3 linked regions of the Callithrix jacchus genome follow. The protein of the gene in region 2 interacts with the protein of the main gene of each other region in a biochemical or structural test. Links are inferred from orthologs where the notes say so. Each region holds a gene or a part of one and is shown on either strand. Other genes may lie near its edges.

The links.
Region 1: the proteins of E2F1 (region 2) and PURA form a complex in vitro, tested with the Homo sapiens proteins (2 studies listed by BioGRID). The link is inferred for Callithrix jacchus from reciprocal best matches to the Homo sapiens genes E2F1 and PURA.
Region 3: the proteins of E2F1 (region 2) and PHB1 form a complex in vitro, tested with the Homo sapiens proteins (2 studies listed by BioGRID). The link is inferred for Callithrix jacchus from reciprocal best matches to the Homo sapiens genes E2F1 and PHB1.

Annotation. Positions count from the first base shown.
Region 1 is NC_133503.1:38,473,825-38,481,070, reverse strand, and holds the start of PURA (transcriptional activator protein Pur-alpha), read right to left. Parts: upstream 4,580-7,246; 5' UTR 4,271-4,579; exon of another isoform or gene 4,156-4,270; intron 1-4,155. UniProt on the Homo sapiens protein: This is a probable transcription activator that specifically binds the purine-rich single strand of the PUR element located upstream of the MYC gene. May play a role in the initiation of DNA replication and in recombination.
Region 2 is NC_133506.1:5,618,936-5,625,656, forward strand, and holds the end of E2F1 (transcription factor E2F1), read left to right. Parts: intron 1-1,219; coding exon 1,220-1,310; intron 1,311-1,660; coding exon 1,661-1,880; intron 1,881-3,315; coding exon 3,316-3,468; intron 3,469-4,158; coding exon 4,159-4,273; intron 4,274-4,368; coding exon 4,369-4,600; intron 4,601-4,725; coding exon 4,726-4,973; 3' UTR 4,974-6,028; downstream 6,029-6,721. UniProt on the Homo sapiens protein: Transcription activator that binds DNA cooperatively with DP proteins through the E2 recognition site, 5'-TTTC[CG]CGC-3' found in the promoter region of a number of genes whose products are involved in cell cycle regulation or in DNA replication.
Region 3 is NC_133506.1:116,900,960-116,906,548, reverse strand, and holds the end of PHB1 (prohibitin 1), read right to left. Parts: intron 4,687-5,589; coding exon 4,591-4,686; intron 2,769-4,590; coding exon 2,556-2,768; 3' UTR 1,618-2,555; downstream 1-1,617.

The sequences.
Region 1 (7,246 bases), on a different chromosome or scaffold from region 2:
AAGCTAAGGCCTATCTCCAGGGGACCCCCTGCCAATGCTCCCACACTTTTCCCCATCACCTTCTACAGGCAGCTGAGAGGATACAGATTACACAGCTCTGCGACTGGTTTTCTCAAACACAGATTGCTGCCTCTATCCTGAGAAAAGTGTACCTATTCCACCCATGGGTTGTATTCCCATTGAGCATCTCTTCCCCCAAAAGTAAGGAGACTTGCCTCCCTCACTCTTAGCCAGAGGGACAACTGGAAATATGGTTGCCCAGCTTCCTAGAAGAGAGTGGACTAACAATAAAAAAAACCAAGAGCAGCCTAGGGAATAACCCTTGCTGATTCCTGAACCCTCAAAGCCCCCTAACATATTCCTTCGCCTCCTGAACAAACTTGCCTGCTAGGTATCCACAGCTTCCTTTTTCTCTTAGCAAGAGCCCCATTCTACTCAGCATTAGCTACTTCAGCCCTGGGCTGAAGTTTGCGACTTCCCACTGAAAAGAAACAAACAGCACCTGGCCACCAAAGAGCAAACGGGGGGCAGTCCTGTGCACCGGACCCAAAACACCCCACCTATGTCCAGTGGTCCTTGAAATGGCTCCCTGAAGTTAAGGCCCACGCCAAGAGATTAAAAACCCAGGCTTTGGGCTCCATAAAGAACTTGCCCACTTTGGGGGCAACCTTTAGTACCACGTATTATCATTTCCGTGTTGATTTTTCTACTCCCTCTCCTGTCCCAAAGTCTACTGGGAATGGGAGACAGAACTTTTGAAGCACTTTCCACTACACAGAAATAGATGTATGAAGAAGCAGTAGCTCCGCCAGGCTCAAACAGTGGCAATCAGGACCCTGGATAGACCCCAGCCCCTCCAGGAACAAAAAGGCTGAGTAGCAGGATCTCCACAGAGAATGGAGTAGGGCATTGCGCTTTGCTAGTAAACTGAGGCTAAGATCTGGTAAAATCCAATCTAGAAGGGCTGCTATTCTTCCTCTAGAGTTTACCTTGAATCAAACCAAGCCCCCGCTCCCTAATGAGAATTCAAGGCAGCAACAAAGCCAAAGAGAATACGTTGAGGGCCCCACCCACCCCCTGCCAGTTCCTGCCTTTCTTCTGTGCTGATTGCGGCCCCCCAGGACAGAAGACTAAGACTCGAAAATGCCTTCCGTCCTATCCCAACTTCCAGTCTAAATTTTCTTGCCCTCTGTCCTAGACGTCTATATATAGGGATTCCGAAGTGATCTGTTTGGAAGTACCCTGTTTTTCTGAAAAAGTGACTGCCACCAACAACTGACTTCTTAGTTCCCCAGCGCAAAGCCAATTATGAAGTTTCTAGACAGAACACAAATTGTACATCATGTGTACACTTAAACTAAGAATTTTAAGCTCAAATCAGCAAATGACTGAGACCTAGATCTCTCCACATAAATATGTACTTATTTTATGCTATTCATTATCTATGTATAAAACTTTTCCCTTATATGCCAGCTTCTCTCTTACTTTATACATGTTTCTGAAAAGCAAACAAGATTAACATGGCATTTCCAAAATAATTCAATGATAAATAGGATATTTCACATATTTTCACTATTGAAACGAGAGTTAATATCAGGATAAGCCTTTAAGTGTGGGTTTTTTCTCAGACTAAGGAGGTGAAAGGCAGCTTTCCTTGGGAGAAATGAATATAAACTTTCAGAAAAGTCTTAAAAAGTTTAAACTTTAAGTAAAACTTCACAGTTATATTTGCATTGTAACACTGAAAAGTCATTAGAAAATGAGTGGATTTTAAGACTTCTAACCATTTGTTAATTATCTAAACAATACACTAACTTGGTGAATGAAAAGTCTGTTCTAGTATCCAGCTGTTTGAATTTGTTACTGTAAAACAAATAGTTGTAAAACTAAATGTGTAATTTCATTACAATGTAGGAAAGACAAAGGGAAAACGAAATATAATATACAGCAAATTAATATGCAGCAAAAATCCATGTTAATGAAAAACTTATCAAAAGTAAACATTTCCTTTCTCCTCAAAATTTGCTTACATTTTAAAGACATAATGTCTCTGGATTTCTTGAGCTCTTTTATTATTAATACAACAGACACATTTCAAAAAGAATAGAGACTGCTTTATTTTTAATCCCACTATCTCTGGGTATTTAACAAACTCTTACCAACAAAAAACTGTGCGCAAAGAAATAGACATTAGGCAGAACAAAAAGGGAAAAAAGCTTTAATTTTCTTCAGCCTAAACTACAGGTGATTCTGAAATAATCTAATTCAGCTTTGGTTTTATAAAGTAAAAATCAACACACATTTATAAAATAGGCTTAGAAAGAGGTTGTCTCCCTCTGGGTAGTAACCCTTTTTATTATAGAGTTCCTAATAGAAACAATATGTTGATTAATATTTTACAAAATCACAAATTTCCAAAATAAAGAACATTAGCGCTTGTGTTTTCAAGTTCTTAGGTTAAGTACCAGTCTTAAACCAGACAACTATCTTCAATACCCAACTCATTAAAACTAACTGGAATGTTGTACTGCAAACGTTCAAAGTGGAGGAATGAGCCATGTCTTCTCACGAGTATCTACCAAAAAAGAGGAAACTCCCAAATCTTAACATTTAACAACAACAACGACTAATAGTAACAGCATTTCCCGGATCGTTCTTTAAAAGCGTATCCCTTTTCTTTAGCTCACTTAATCTTGAAAATCATGCCTCTTCAATGATATTTTAATGTTTAGGATTAAAGATATGAAGTAAACATTTAAAATATGAAGAGAACAATCCACATGACAAAAATTCTTGCATTTCCAAAATATTTTCATTTTAAGCATTTGCAGAAGAGTTAAATAAATGTAGCAGGCATTCTAAATTCGATAAAAGAGTCAGAGAACCCGACATTTTATGTACCCCAAAGGTCCAAACAGAACCGATGTAAATGTCAATAGCTCTCTCCCTTCCGGTTGATACTTAAATGATTTTACTAGTACTCAAAGCAATGAAATCAGCAACTCTCTCCACACTCTAGTCAACATTCCTATTTTCAAAGCCGCAATTCGCAAACGTCAGTTGGGCGGGGGCGGTGGGGGATCTTGAAGTAATCCAAAAATTTCCTTTCCCCTTTGACAGTCCACCAAAAGATGTCAAACCAAATCCAGCCTATTGTAAAGCTCTGGGACCTCCCTTCCAAGGACACCGAACACAAGCATAGACACCGTTGCGAAAAGCTGTCCAAAAGCGCCTGGTCGGACAGAAACGTAAGGAGCCCAGACCAAAACGAATTAGAACCCTCAACAGAGGGTCCCGCAGACACCGCGGAAAAGAACGTGGCATTTATTCCAGGGTAGACAGCTACGAACCGGAGTTGCCCCAGCCAGTCTCTTGGGCCTCTCCAACCCGAGTTCAGGTTTATGGCAGATATATTGGTGGGTGCCTTCCCCTACATACATCACAGCCCGCCTCCGGGGTCCACTGCCGCTCACAGAGAAGACCCCTCAGCTTCACATCCGTTCCTCTTGCCCTCGGACAAAGGCAGAGGAGCTGTGGAGCTGACCCAGCGCTGTGGGGCAGTAAAAATGCCTTGTTCGGGTCACCCATCTTTGGGCCTGGCTTCATCTGCGATGTCAGCAGCAAAGGTTTTTTTCTGGTTTTGTTTTGTTTTTACAGCGCATCCTGGGCGGGTGTATACATTTGGTGGTGGTGGGATGGGGGGAGCTGAACAGAGGAGGGGTTGGCAGTAAAGCCTGGGTTATAGAACTCTCCCTCCTCTCCCTCCTCCCAGGGTTGCCGTGCAGGGAGTGTCAGCCACGTCTAGCGCACAGTCCCAGGCCCCAGGGAGAAGGCGGCCAGGGGAAATGGGGCTCAGGGATTGCTAAGCAAACGCATCATTGGTGGTCTCCAGCGCCTGCGGAGGTAGGATTGTCTCTTTTCTTAAGGAGCGTGTTATTTTGTTCTCTTTTGGAAGTAGGAGGGGGTTCATTCGTTTCTCGCTGCGGGGGGTGGGGGAGAACGTTGCTGCACCGCCTGGATCTCCGAGAGGGAGGGTGCGGGGATGTCTGCAATGGTACTATAATTATTTCTGGGCTGAGAGGGCAAGTAGAGGGACGGGGCGGGCGGCACCTCGAGCTGTGGCAGTGGCAGCAGGGAAGGTCGCGAGGGGCTTACCCGGGCGGGCGCTGTCCTGCCGCAGGTGAGGGAGGGCGCAGGCTGGCGGGAGGGAGGACGCGCGCGAGGCCGGCGCGAGGAAGGGGGGAGGGGAGGAGGGCGCGCGCGCGCACACCTGTCCTGGACAGCGGCGCTAGCCGAGCTGCGCCTCACTTGGGCTCTGCGGGCTGAGGAGGGAAGAGGGCGGGCTGGCAGGCGGGGGCGGGACGCCGAGGGGAGGAGGAGGAGGCGGCTCTGTTGGCAGGCTCGGCTCTCGCTCGCTCTCCCTCCCGCGGGCAAGTCCGGCTCACACCCTGCTTCTCCCGCTCACTCACAGCCCCCTTGGCTCTCCCTCCTCCTCCTCCTTCCCCTGCGGGATCCGCTCACCGCCGCCGCCGCCGCCGCAGACGGCAAGTCGTGGCAGCCAGACGTCGGCGCGTAACCCGGCGCTCCGTGCGTGACTCCGGGCGACGTCAGCGCGCGCACCGCGTTCCCCACCCCTCCTCCCCACTCCGCGGCTCGCGCCCTTCGCTCTCGCGTCCCATCGTTTTAGCTGCCGCCGCGGCGGCCGCTGAGCGCGCTCTTCCCGCCCCCTTCTCGCGCGTGAGCGCGCCCTCTCGACTGTTGGCGCGTAGACATTCCGCGGCACAGGCCTTGGGGCGCGTCTGAGGAGGGGGCTGTCTGTGGCCTCTCCGCCCACACTTCCTCCACCCACCGTCCGTAACGCCCACAGAAGACTTATTCCTCGTTGGGCTTCTGAAGGCCGAAGCCAGGCTCAGGCGGGGATAGAACCCTGAAGGGCCTGCGCCAGCTCCAACTTAGGTCCCTGTGCGTCGTTGCGGCTGCCGCTGCCACCGGATCATGCCGCACCCCCGCCCCAACTCCGCCCGGGTCTCTGAGGAGGCAATAGGCCTTTCATCTCCCGGGAAGTCTCACCTTGGCCTTCAGACACCCGCCGAGAGGGGTTGGAAGGACAGAATTAGCATGAAGAAGAGAGGCTAGACCACTTTTCAGGCTCTGGCCCCAGGAATCCTTGACAGGAAGCGTGGGGTTGCTGCCCAGCCTCCCACGCAGTATAATATATTGAAGCCGGGCCCCTTTGAGGGAATGCGACTTCCTTGAGCCGAGGGGGAAAGAGTAAAAGCTAATTTTCATAAATTGCTATGCAAGGACAAAATGTAGAATTATAAGATGTGTTTCAGACAGTCTTAAAGATTTATCATCTTTAAGACAGTTTTCTTGAAATCGTATCAAGTTTGACAAGATTTTAGTGCACGGTAACGGTTTTCCTCGCCGCCTATGCTGTCACGTTTCCATCCTGCAACACTGAGTACATAGATGGAACGTGGGTCAGCTAATAACTGCTGCAAAATAAATAGGAACTGCCTTTATAATCTTTATCATTATTTAAATAGACCTCCGGGAAGTCAAACTGTGATTTAGGAACACTTATTCATTGCCTCAACCTATTTAACTTAGTGTATTTTGTTTTAAAGTTACTTTGCAAATACACCACAAAATGCCCCTTTATTAGGCAATAGTGGACTTTTAAACTTACTTCCTAGAGGATCTTTTCCAAGAAGCATATCTAATTGAGCCTGCGAGGCAAGTGGGACTAAGGTGTAATTAATCCCATTTTACAGATGAAAACTGAGTTATCGAAATGTAAGTCAGTTGTTCAGTGTTGCAAGGAGTCAGTCACTGATAGAGGGAAAAGTCTAAGATCTATTATTGCCTGCTTTATCCACTAAACCAGAAATCTCTCAGTTGTTTACTTCCAAGTATCTTTTGCTCCCGGCCCTTATGTATTGTAGGCAGTACCTGATGGCTGAGAAGAATTTCAGAGGACTAGAAAAGTTTGAGTCTGAAATTTTCTGCCACAGAGAATTACAGCTCAGCAATAAGTTATTGCGAAACAGTTCAACTTGCATTAACAACAGCAACAACAAGCTTATTCCTAGCTGGAGGTGAGAAAAAGAGACTGGCTTAAGGGTGATAGGTTATTTCCTTTGAATTGCTTTTTGGTTCACCTCATCTTTAGGTGGCAGCACTACTATATAAATATTCTTCAAAAAGTACAGTTTTCTGCAACTTATCCTAAAGGATAGTCTGTCCTAAGTGTTTCCAACTGTATTGTGGAGATTAAAATCTGGTGATTTTTTTTCTTCTTATTTTTGAGATGGAGTTTCGCCCTTGTTGCGCAGACTGGAGTGCAATGGCGCGTACTCACTGCAACCTCCGCCTCCTGGGTTCAAGCGATTCTCCTGCCTCAGCCTCCCGAGTAGCTGGGATTAATCGGCATGCGCCACCACGCCCGGCTAGAAGCTGGTGACTTTATGATATAAAATCAGAGCTGAGAATTACAAAAAGGCACTTCTAGAGGAGGAGAAACAGAAAATCTATCAAAGACATTACTAAAATACATGGAGCTATGGAGGGAAAACATTGGAAAGTTTCAAGAAAAAAAGCTTTCTAGGTGTATGAGAAGCAAGTAACATCTTAAAATCTGGTCTTTCATTGAAACTTAGGACAAGATAACCTTCCAAAGCAAACCATCCTTTCTCAGTACTGCATATTTATCAAGCATTTACAAGTTTGAATTTGCGAGTTATATAGTTGCCTTTACTCAACTGTAATTTTAAAATTCAGATGCAGTTTTTCCTAATTAACAGCATCAAGCTTATGAAGATTCCAAACAGGACTTTATTGTTGACCCTTGTTGAAGAGAACTCCACTTGGCTTCTTTCCTGGCTTTCCTAAATTGTTCACATGCAAGATAAACTTCCATCACTCAGACTTACAGAAGTGAGAAGGCAAGCTGAACCAAATGTAAAATGATAGCAATTTACAGGTAATTCTATATCTTAATTTCTCCCACATTTTTATGGTAAGAAATTGTGATATATGGGGGTTATTTGGATCAAGTGTTTTCTAAGTAGAACTTTGTCATAATTAATTTTATTTATAGTAGTTCTCCCTGTGTCCCTTTATCCAAGCAACTCAATACAATTGAATTTATATGCATTTCAAAGTAGACTCCGTTTGATTTACTGTGGAAATGCAACCACCAAGTAATATAGAGGTATGAAAATCAGGAGTGAGAAATAAAAGT
Region 2 (6,721 bases):
ACAGTGGCTCATGCCTGTAATCTAGCACTGGCTATGGTGAAGGCTGAGGTGGGAGAATTGCTCAAGCCCAGGAGTTTGAGGCCAGTCTGGGTAACATAGGAAGACCCCATCTCTACAAAAAATACAAACATTAGCTGGTCATGGTAGCGTGCGCCTGTGGTCCCAGCTACTTGGAAGGCTGAGATGGGAGGATTGCTTGAGCTCAGGATGTTTGGCTGCAGTGGGTCATGATCGTACCACTGCACTCCAGCATAGGCAACAAACTGAGACCCTGTCTAAAAAAGAAAAAAAGTGGTGGCATTAAAAAAAAAAACCTGGCCGGGCGCGGTGGCTCACGCCTGTAATCCCAGCACTTTGGGAGGCTGAGGCGGGTGGATCATGAGGTCAAGAGATCAAGACCATCCTGGTCAACAAGGTGAAACCCCGTCTCTACTAAAAATACAAAAATAAGCTGGGCATGGTGGCATGCGCCTGTAATCCCAGCTACTCAGGAGACTGAGGCAGGAGAATTGCCTGAACCCAGGAGGCGGAGGTTGCGGTGAGCCGAGACTGCGCCATTGCACTCCAGCCTGGGTAACAAGAGCGAAACTCCGTCTCAAAAAAAAACAAAAAAAACTTTATTATATAGTTTTTGTGGGTCAGGAATTAAGGGAAGACTTAGCTAGATGCTCTGGCTTGGGGTCTCTTTGGAGATTCAGCCAGTGTTTGGGTCCTGGCTGCTAACAGAAGGCATGACTCAGTGTTGCTGTTGGGAGGAGCTGCGGTTTCTTGCCCATCATTAGGGCTACTTGAGTGTCCATATGACATGGCAGAGTGAGTGACCCAATACAGAGCAAGGAGGAAGCTCCAGTTCCTCTGACTCAGTCTCAAAAGTGACACTCCATCTCTGGTTCATACAGGGAGGATTATTAGGCTTCATCTTTTGAAGGAGAAGGATCAAAAAGTTTGCAGATGTGTTTTAAATCCACCACGAGACCCCAGAGAAGTAGTGATGGAGCTGGGACTTGAGCTCAGGTCTTCTGCCTTCTGCGGTTGAGTGTCCTGTGTGGAAGGACTATGACTCTCAGGCTGTGTCCCCTCTGATCTCCCTCAGTCACACAGTCAGGCATCCTGCTACAGAAACTGAGGTGGGGGTAACCCAGAGGTGCCTAGCCCTCAGCCAGGTCTCTTCTGGCATCACTCCTGGTTACTGGGCATCCTCCCATTGTTTTCACTACAGGTGAAGCGGAGGCTGGACCTGGAAACTGACCATCAGTACCTGGCTGAAAGCAGTGGGCCAGCTCGGGGCAGAGGCCGCCATCAAGGAAAAGGTACCCACGGAGCTTGGGCTGGGCAGGCCCCCTGTGACCAGGCCCGGGTTGGGGGTGTGAACAAACAAACATGCTTTCAGGCTAACGTCTTGGTTCATTGGGCTTGAGCCAGGCCTCTGGGGACCCTGATGGGCAGCTGGAGTCGCTGCCTGGCTTGGTTTACCCCAGCCCTGAGGGTTGAGGAGTTCCCCAGTCAGAATAAGAATGCTGTGGTTGACCTCACCAAGGGGAAGGGGCTGGCTGTCCCCCGGCCCCCATCATCCTGCTGTCCTGCACTGCCACAGAGGCAGGCCTGGCTGGAGGTGGGGTGGATGCTGGAGGGCCCTACTTGCTTGACCACACCCTTACAGGTGTGAAATCCCCGGGGGAGAAGTCACGCTATGAGACCTCACTGAATCTGACCACCAAGCGCTTCCTGGAGCTGCTGAGCCGCTCTGCTGACGGTGTTGTCGACCTGAACTGGGCTGCCGAGGTGCTCAAAGTGCAGAAGCGGCGCATCTATGACATCACCAATGTCCTCGAGGGCATCCAGCTCATTGCCAAGAAGTCCAAGAACCACATCCAGTGGCTGTAGGTACCGGCCACACAGGAGGGCAGGCACACCTGCCCATGCCAGCCTGGAGGAACTGTAGCAGTACCCACTGTGGGCTGTCTGCATCCACATGTTACAGCTGGGGAAACGGGCTCAGGGAAGAGAGGTAGCTTCCCTGAGATGATAGATGCTAAAAAGCACACAAATCTTACATATCCAGCTCAGTTACAGCTTTATTTATTTATTTAATTTTTTAAGATGGAGTTTCACTCTGTCGCCCAGGCTGGAGTGCAGTGGCGTCATCTCAGCTCACTGCAACCACCACTTCCCAGGTTCAAGTGATTCTTCTGCCTCAGCCTCCCAAGTAGCTGGGGTTATAGGCACTTACCACTACGCCCGGCTAATTTTTGTATTTTTAGTAGAGACAGGGTTTCACCATGTTGGCCAGGCTGGTCTCAAACTCCAGATCTGAGGTAATCTGCCTGCCTTGGCCTCCCAGAGTGCTGGGATTATAGGCGTGAGCCACTGTGCCCAGCAGAGCTTTACATATTTATTCATCTGGGTTACCACCATTCAGATCAAGATAGAAGCATTTCCAACACCCCAGAAGGTTCTCTTGTGCCCCTTTCCAGTCACTGCCAACCCCTCACACCACCAGGTGACCACTCTTCTGGTGTCTTATGCCCTCGGTAAGATTTGTCTGGCACGGATGTTTTCTTTTTGTACTTGTTTTATTTTCCCCTTCTTGCCTTTGCCCTAGTCATCCTGCTACCCTCTCTTTGATACACCTGCCTTTTCATTTTTTGGTAGATTGTTCCATTCTACATCTTTTATGTTTTTTTGAGGGGGTGGGGGGCAGTTTGAGACAGGGTATTGCTCTGTCACCCAGACTGGAGTCTGGAGGCACAAGTAGAGCTCACTGCAGCCTCAACCTCCTGGGCTCAATCCTTGTACCTGTAGCTAGGACTACAAGTACATGCCACCATGCCTGGCTAATTTCTTTAATTTTGTGTAGAGGTGGGGTCTCACAGTATTGCCCAGGCTGGTTTAAACTCCTGAGGCTCAAGCAGTACATCCTCTGACCTCAGCTTCCCAAAGTGCTGGGATTATGTGTGAGCCACCAAGCCCAGCCCATTTTTTTTTTTTTTTTAATTTGACAGCATGACTTGGAAATGCTTGTATGTATGTGTCTAGAGCATGCTCATCCTTTTATACAACTGTAATGTTTCATGACATGTCGATGCCATCATTTATTTATCCTGCCCTGGTTGAGGGACATGTAGGTGTTTATAAATATTCGGGCCAGACTTCAAGCCCATGACACACTGATTTGGATCCCAGCTGAGGAGCCAGACCCAGAGAGAAGCAAGGGCTTGCCTGGGCCTCGCAGAACAGAGGCAGCAGCAGATGGGGTCCTGAGCGCCAGAGGGGCCAGACGATGCTAACCCTACCCTCCCTGGTGCCTCCCCACAGGGGCAGCCACACCACAGTGGGTGTTGGTGGGCGGCTTGAGGGGCTGACCCAGGACCTCCGGCAGCTGCAGGAGAGTGAGCAGCAGCTGGACCACCTGATGAATATCTGTACTACGCAGCTGCGCCTGCTCTCCGAGGACACTGACAGCCAGCGATATCCTTGGACTGGCCGGGGGTGTGGAAGGCAGGCTTAGTGCGCAGGGGTCCCACCCAAGTGGGACTAGAGAGGCTACCCTGGGCCCTGGATTCCGGAGAGGATGCTGGTTTTGGTTGCAAGTTCTGGCTCAGCATTTTCTCATTGTGTGACACTGGATAAATTGCTTAACCTCTCTGGGCCTCAGTTTTAGCTATAAAAGGGGGATAATAATATCCAATTCTGAAATTGTACAGATTAAAGCAGAAAAGTGGCTGGGGTGGCTCCTGCCTGTAATCCTAGTGCTTCAGGAGGCTGAGGTGGGAGGATCACTTGAGCCCAGGAGTTTGAGGCTGCAGTGAGCTCTGGTTGAGCTACAGCACTCCAGCCTGGGTGACATAGTGAGAACCTGCTTCTAAAAACTAAATAATAAGTTCCCAGCAGCAGGCCTGCAGTTGTGTTGAGCATTTTACATGGAATTGTTCCTGGTAGCCATCATCATTACTTTGGGATTCAGTTGGTAGAATAGTTCCATTGTACAGATGTGGAACTTGAAACTTGGGAATGAGGTGGCTTTTGAGCAGATGGGGGGGTTGAGAAGACAGGAGTGACTAGGGAGGTGTGAGCCCTGCCTTGTGAAGGTCCTTTGTGAGTTGCTGGAGTGAGTGACCCTCAGAAGTCAAAGTTCCTGTGGTCCTTGACTCTGCCAACCCTGGCCTATGTGACGTGCCAGGATCTTCGTAGCATTGCAGACCCTGCAGAGCAGATGGTTATGGTGATCAAGGCTCCTCCTGAGACCCAGCTCCAAGCTGTGGACTCTTCGGAGGTGAGATCTGGAAACTCTAGGCCCAACTGGGCTGGGCTGGGCTGGGCTTGGGGTCACCTGGGCCTCAGTTTACCCTGCCTGCTGCTTCCACCCAGACATTTCAGATCTCTCTTAAGAGCAAACAAGGCCCCATCGATGTTTTCCTGTGCCCTGAGGAGACTGTGGGTGGGATCAGCCCTGGGAAGACCCCGTCCCCGTCCCGGGAGGCTGCTTCTGTGGAGGAGAACAGGGCCTCTGACTCTGCCACCATAGTGCCGCCACCATCATCATCTCCCCACTCATCCTTCGCCACAGATCCCAGCCAGTCTCTGCTCAGCCTGGAGCAAGGTGGGTGATGGGTAGGTGGGTGGGGTGGGAAAGGGCCACTCTTCTGGGGGGCGGGCAGGCACGACAGCCCCTGTCTTCCTCCCTGCTGGGGCATCCCCGGCCTGTGATGCTCCCCGTCTCCCCAGAACCACTGTTGTCCCGGATGGGCAGCCTACGGGCTCCCATGGACGAGGACCGCCTGTCCCCGCTGGTGGCAGCCGACTCGCTCCTGGAGCATGTGCGGGAGGACTTCTCCGGCCTCCTCCCTGAGGAGTTCATCAGCCTTTCCCCACCCCATGAGGGCCTCGACTACCACTTCGGCCTCGAGGAGGGCGAGGGCATCAGAGACCTCTTCGACTGTGACTTTGGGGACTTCACCCCCCTCGATTTCTGATGGGGCTTGGAGGGACCAGCGTTTCCAGAGATGCTCACTGTCTCTGCAGCCCTGGAGCCTCCTGTCCCTGGCCATCCTCCCAGCCTGATCGGAAACATTTAATTTATACCCCTCTCTCCTGTCTCCAGTAGCTTCTAGCTCTGGGGTCTGGCTACCGCTAGGAGGCTGAGCAAGCCAGGAAGGGAAGGAGTCTGTTTGTGGTGTGTATGTGCATGCAGCCTACACCCACACGTGTGTACCTGGGGTGAATGTGGTGTGTGAGCATGTGTGTGTGCATGTACCGGGGAATGAAGGTGAATATACACCTCTGTGTGTGCACTGCAGACACGCCCCAGTGTGTCCACATGTGTGTGCATGAGTCCATGTGTGCGCGTGGGGGGCTCTAACTGCACTTTCGGCCCTTTTGCTCTGGGGGTCCCACAAGGCCCAGCATAGTGCCTGCTCCGAGAATCCGGCGCTCTGACCAGGCCAGGTGGGGAGGCTTTGGCTGGCTGGGCTTGTAGGACGGCGAGAGCACTTCTGTCTTAAAGGTTTTTTCTGATTGAAGCTTTAATGGAGCGTTATTTATTTATCGAGGCCTCTTTGGCGAGCCTGGGGAATCAGCATAGGGGAGGAGGGGTGTGGGGTTGATACCCCGACTTCCTCTACCCTTGAGCAAGGGCAGGGGTCCCTGAGCTGTTCTGCCCCACACTGAAGGAGCTGAGGCCTGGGTGATTTATTTATTGGGAAAGTGAGGGAGGGAGACAGACTGACTGACAGCCATGGGTAGACGGATGGTGGGGCAGGCCCTCTCCAGGGGGCCAGTTCGGGGCCCCAGCTGCCCCCCAGGATGGATTTAAGATGGGAGAGGTGAGTGGGGGACCTTCACTGATGTAGTGGGCAGGTGGGGTGGTGACGGCCTCCCCCCCCTCCCCGCCCAGACCTGTGGTCCCTCCTGTGGTGTCTGAAGCGCCTGCCTCCCCACTGCTCTACCCCACCCTCCAATCTGCACTTTGATTTGCTTCCTAACAGCTGTTCCCTCCTGCTTTGGTTTTAATAAATATTTTGATGATGTTTGGGCTGGGTTTTGGGACTCTGTTGGGAACAGTTCGGGGCGGGAAAGGCCAAAGTTGCTGGGGAAATGCGCGTTCTCCACTTCCCTTCTCCCGGATTTGATTTGAGCCTCATAATTCTAAGAAAGGTCAGCTTCATCGCTATTTTGGTCCTAACTGAAAAGCCGATCCAGTAAAGGTTTTTGCTGTAGAAAGCCAAGAATGCTAGTCAGTGCTGCCCAAAGTGCAGAGTAATGAGTGACCTCTTCTCCCCAGCCCTAGAGGCCACTGTGCTCAGTTTGCTATCTTCCTTCCAGACGCTTCTGGGCCTTAGTAAACATGCAGCAAATACCATGGACTGGTTTTGTGTCAGGTATTTAAAATTTCTGGGGACACAGGTGTTACCTCCCTTCATGGTGCTCTCAGGGTCCAAAGGAGATTTGCACAAATGAAAAATCAGGAAAGGCTTCCTGGAAAGGGTGGTGCTTGAGCTGAGCGCTGTAGAATAACCAGGAGTTAACCAGAGTAAGAAAACACCAAGCACACCCAGCAGAGAACACGATGGGCAAAGGCCCTGAGCAGGAGGGAGCGGGACAAGGCGGAGAGAAAGCGGTGGCCGCAGGCCTGAGGTGAGGGTCAGCGTTCCATCCTGAGCTTTCATTCAGGGGCCAGGGAGTCCCTAGTGACACCTCCTAGCATTTTGAAAGCTCCCCCTGG
Region 3 (5,589 bases), about 110 Mb from region 2:
GATAATCTTAAGGCCGGAGATAAATGATGCTGGGGAGGTGGCAGGGCTGGATGGGAGGCTCATGGGAGGGAGGTCTGAGGTTCAGCGAAGGGTCAGGAGTCCATCACACACTGTTGTCTGCTCCTGGGATGGCTGTTGGGAGGCCCTGGAGGCATGTGTGCCGGGCTGCAGGGATTGGGAGAACTCAATCCCTGGCTCCACCCCCAAATCTGTGCATCGGGTCTCCCTTTCCCCAGCTAACAGGTGGTGGCCTGATCACTCTGGGGAAGGAAATTCAGAATCCAGGTCAGAGACCAGCCTGTGGAGTCTTAAAGACCCCTCTCTGTGGCCAGGTGGTGAGCTCGGGGATAAATGAAGAGCAGAGGTTAAAGCACAGTCAGTGCTGTGTGCTCACTGCACACTGTTTTCACTTTGTTCTAAAAGGATTTGGGGTGGGTGATTGGCACAGCTCATTTCTCAATCTGAGGTCCGCTTTCCCTCCTCACCATCCAAATGCACAAACTCAGCTCCCCGCAAATGCCAAGGCATTTCCAATTTCCCTCTCAGTCAGAGCAAAGCAGAATAAGCAGTATAAACCCACTGGCTGGGTGCGGTGGCTCGCTAATCCCAGCACTTTAGGAGGTCAAGGCAAGTGGATTGCTTGAGCCCAGGAGTTCAAAATCAGCCTGGGAAACATGGTGAAACCTGGTCTCTATAAAAAATACAAAAATTAGGCCGGGCGCGGTGGCTCACGCCTGTAATCTGAGCACTTTGGGAGGCCAAGGCGGGTGGATCACAAGGTCAAGGGATCGAGACCATCCTGGTCAACATGGTGAAACCCCGTCTCTACTAAAAATACAAAAAATTAGCTGGGCATGGTGGCACATGCCTGTAATCCCAGCTACTCAGGAGGCTGAGGCAGGAGAATTGCCTGAACCCAGGAGGCGGAGATTGCAGTGAGCCGAGATCACGCCATTGCACTCCAGCCTGGGTAACAAGAGTGAAACTCCGTCTCAAAAAAAAAAAACCAAAAATTAGCCGGCTATAGTGGCACCTGCCTGTAGTCCCGAATACTTAGGGAGCTCAGGCAGGAGGATCACTGGAGCCCAGGAAGTCATTGTTGCAGTGAGCTACATTCACACCACTGCACTCCAGCCTGGGCAGCAAAGTGGGACCCTGTCTCAGAAAAAAAAAAAAATCCACAAAACCACCACCACCACAAAAAACCCACTGCAGAGCGCCCCAAGCCATCTAACTGAGGGCTACTCTACTGGACCTGTAATTTACGACAACCATTTACTTCCCTCGCATTGGGGGAAGGTGTCACTGGCAGTCGGCGGGAAGGCCCGTAACTCTCCATAAGTAGCGGCACCAAAACACAGAACAGTGAACTGCCCTCCACGTACCCTCACCACCTGCAAGCCCACCCATGACAAACCTCACCGGCTACCACGGAGGTTCCCTTCGGGTTGGGGATGGATCTGGAACACAGCACAAAGTGTTTTCTGAAAACAAAGCATTTTCTGCCTTACTGGAGATTCTGTCTCAGCTGGCAATGTGAACATGTGCACACGAAAACTGCTAGAATGCTCTGTTCTGATCCCACGGCTCCCACAAACAAAAAAACCAACCCACGGCTGAGCCAGAAGGTCTGGGTGTCATTTATTGACAGCAGTTTACACACATTTGTTTCCTTCCCAGCACAGGCACAGAGCCCTTGAGAAGGGCAGTCTCTGAATGGGGGAGCCAGGAACGCAGTCGGACATGTCTTTGGCAGGCATGTTCAGCCCCAACAGGATGCAATCCTTCAAGTTGGAATTCCACTGGGTATTTGAGAGGGACCAAGGTAGGGGGTAGGGAGGAAGTCTTCGACAGGACTCATCTCGGTCCAGGCCTCTTCTCTCACTATCCAAGTCCATCCAAGTTATAGGACCCTAGGGGGCAACAATCAGGCCCACCCACCTCAAGAGGGGCAGATTCTTCAATCTGTGCCCAGTTCACACACACCTGCTTCCGCTGGTCACATAGTTAAAGAGAATCAGCCTTACGGTAAGAGACAGATGGCTTCCTCTCTGCCCCTCCCCAGCACCTCTCTTCAGCGGCATCTGCGCAGGAACTGCTGGGAAGATGGAGGCCTGCCTTCTCAGTTCAGCCACGTGCCCTCATTCGCAAATCTTGCAGCATCAGTGACAGGATGGAGGCCACCTGTGGACCCCGGCAGACACCTGTGCTCCCCAGTCCATCACGCACTGCCCTACCTGTGTGCTGTCAAATGCTGGTGCCCAGGCCAGAGCTCCAGCAGGCCCCGAATTGGGACCTAAAGCCAGTTTGCATAGGCACTTGGCAATTTTTGGTAGGGAGGTGGATAAAAAAGTAGATGGACGTGAGAAGAAGGAAAGTGTTTCATCTGATAGACTAATTAGAGATCTGAAGTGATTTTACCTTTATTTCCTTCACTTTAAGCCAATCATGAAATTTCACAGTGATTTCTGGGGTGGGGGCAGAAGGAAGGCGGTGTCAAAAATCACTGGGGCTGTGGCCCAGTCGGCCCATGGAGGTGCAGGAAGGGTGGGCCCTCACTGGGGCAGCTGGAGGAGCACGGACTGCCCCGCCGGCAGGTAGGTGATGTTCCGAGAGCGTGACAGCTGGTACGCGATGTCCTCCGCAGCTTCCAGCTTGCGCAGCTCAATCAGGCCGTCCCCTGCGGTGGCCAGTGAGTTGGCAATCAACTCAGCTGCCTTGGAGTCGCCCTCAGCAGAGATGATGGCCGCCTTTTTCTGCTGCTCAGCCTAAAAGAATGGAGATGGAGAGAGACTAAGATCAACCCTCAGGAAATTGCATTATCAGGCTACCACCCAAAAAGGACATTCACCAGAAAGCCGCCTTCCCAGGCTCCTGAAGGAACTAGGGGAGTTTACTTCCTCCTGATGGCGGGCGGGTGAGCACACTGCCCACCCAGTCCTCCTCTTTCCTTTCATGTTTACTCAACACAGAAGGGGAGGGTTACATTTCTGTTGGCTGCATGAATATTTATTTATTCATTTATTTCTTTTGAGACAGTCTTGCTGTTGCCCAGGCTGGAGTGCAATGGCGCAATCTCGGCTCACCGCAACCTCCACCTCCTGGGTTCAAGCCATTCTCCTGCCTCAGCTTCTGGAATAGCTGAGATTACAGGCGCACACCACCATGCCCGGCTAATTTTTGTATTTTTAATAGACGGGGTTTCACCATGTTGGCCAGGATGGTCTTGATCTCTTGACCTTGTGATCTGCCCGCCTTGGCCTCCCAAAGTGCTGGGATTACAGATGTGAGCCACCATGCCCTGCATGAATATTTGCCTTATTTCAAAGTCCTCATTAATATTAATTGTAATCTAGTTTAACCACCCTACTCTGGGCCAGGAGGATCCAAGAACGAAGAAAAAGAAAGGTGGAATCAATTCTCAAGGCTCATCTTTCCCTCAAGTCCCAAGTCTAAAGGGCTTCATCAAGGCCAGGACTGGGCCAGGTGTGGTGACTCATGCCTGTAATCCCGGCACTTTGAGAGGCAGAGGCAAGAGAATCACTTGAGCCCAGGAGGTCAAGGCTGAAGTGAGCTGTGATTATGCCATTGCACTCTAGCCTGGGCCACAGAGGGAGATGCTGTCTCAGCCCAACCAACCAACTTCAGGATGGTGAAGAAAGAGCAGCACACACTAGTGACTTCCTAGAGCTGCTTGTGAGATAGGCTGGCTCCTGCCCAGAACCCAGGCATTCAGAGTGAGATCTCCTAGACTTGCCCTATCAATATCACTAGGAAGACAGCTCTCTGCAATGCAGGGCCTTCAGGAGTGTGAGGAGAAGACAGTATTGAGTCTCTCTGAAATTTCGTATGATTTTGAAATGGCTGGGCCCCACGTCTGTTTGCTCAGCACATTTACTGCATACCTATCGCCAAGCACTGTGCTAGACTTACTAAAATCTCTGAAGTTATAGGAGACACAAAGCGACACAAGTCCCTGCCCACACAGAGTTTTCATTCTCCAAAATTAAATCTATCCCTCTTTTCCCCTTTTATTTCTTGCTGAACCCATCTCCCCCCGAATGAGGGACACTGGTGGTGGGAAGAGGGAGAACAAGAAATAAACATGTCTTTGCAAATACCAGAGAGACCAGGCTGCTAAGCAAATACACTGTGTCCCATCACAATCTTTGACACATCTGGATGGATTTAGCACCAGAAAAAAAATCTAGTGACGAAAGCACATCTGGTGCAACGTTTGATCTTTTTTGCTGTCAGCTTTCACTATGTAACTACGGTTAAAAATGACTTCTCAGTGAAGCTGAAAATACTCCAGGAGAAACATTTTTATTTGTAAGAGAGTGTTTTTGATCTCAGAGAAGTGGAAGAAGAATTATCTTTCAGTGATTTAGGAACAGAACTCCACATATCCTGGACTAGCCCCTGAAGACTCTGGAACCAATTGCAAAAGTACAATCCCTTCAAGCCCCTTCCGATGATCCCGGAAGAAGGGATGACAGATGATGAATTTCCAGGCCACCCAGCAGATGGGGAAGCTGAGTGCAGGAGAAAGGGGAAGGAGAGGCTCCTGCCATCTGGTTGAATGCTCACCTTTTCCACCACAAATCTGGCTCTCTCTGCTTCCTGCTGAGCCACCTGTTTGGCTTCCACTGCTTCTGTGAACTCCTTCCCGAAGGTCAGATGTGTCTAAGGGGAGAGAGGAGCACAAGATGAGGCAGTGTGATTGCTTAGACAGCGCTGCTGGGAGGCCTCTACAGCCGCTGGAACGAAGAGGCCGGCAATGGCTCTAGCAGCTGGAGGCATCCGTGAGGCCAGAATGCTCTTCCACCTCCGTATCTGCATCCAAACTGAGTTTACACCCAGAGTCTCTGGCTGCTTAAACCGCTCCTGTACCTTACTCCGTCTCGCACAGTACAGCGACCTCATATCGCAAATGGCAACTGGGGCTTCTGATGGGGCCCACAGGCACCAGAAGGTATCCACTCCAACGACCACCTCCCCAGAGGAGAACTGTGGGTTCTAAGAACCCCACCACTGACTAGAGCTCTTCCAAGGGCCTTTGATGCCTGGTTCAAAGCCCAAGGAAGGCCAGATGGAAAACGGGGCCCCTGAAAGTGAGGGAGGCAGCGAGTTTCCAGGGATCCAAGAGCCTGATGCTCTCTGCTTATGGGTTAACCAGTCCACTTCTTCCCATAGCAGCTCCACCGCTGAACAGGAAGAGGACGAGGGACGGTGGAACACAAATCGTGGTATTCCCAATGTGTGAGTGGTTCTGTTAAAGGGTTTAAAGGAAAGAGAAAGCAGGTAAAGTCATTGGTCGGGGTGAGGGTTTAGAAGTCCGATGATCCCTAGACCTTTCCTAATCACGTCAGGTCTGATGGGACTGTCTCTAGATAGCACAAGCAATGGGAACAGACCCCAGAATTCCTAACGCCCAGCCTAGAGCAATTTACTTATTCATCCTAATTTTTATGAAAAAGAATAAGGAGAAGGAGAGGCTTGGTTTCACCATCAACTTCTAGTTGTTTCATTTCCTCCACTCTCCCAACCTCTGCTTTTTTGAAAAGCAGCCCCAAAACTTCTCCTAAA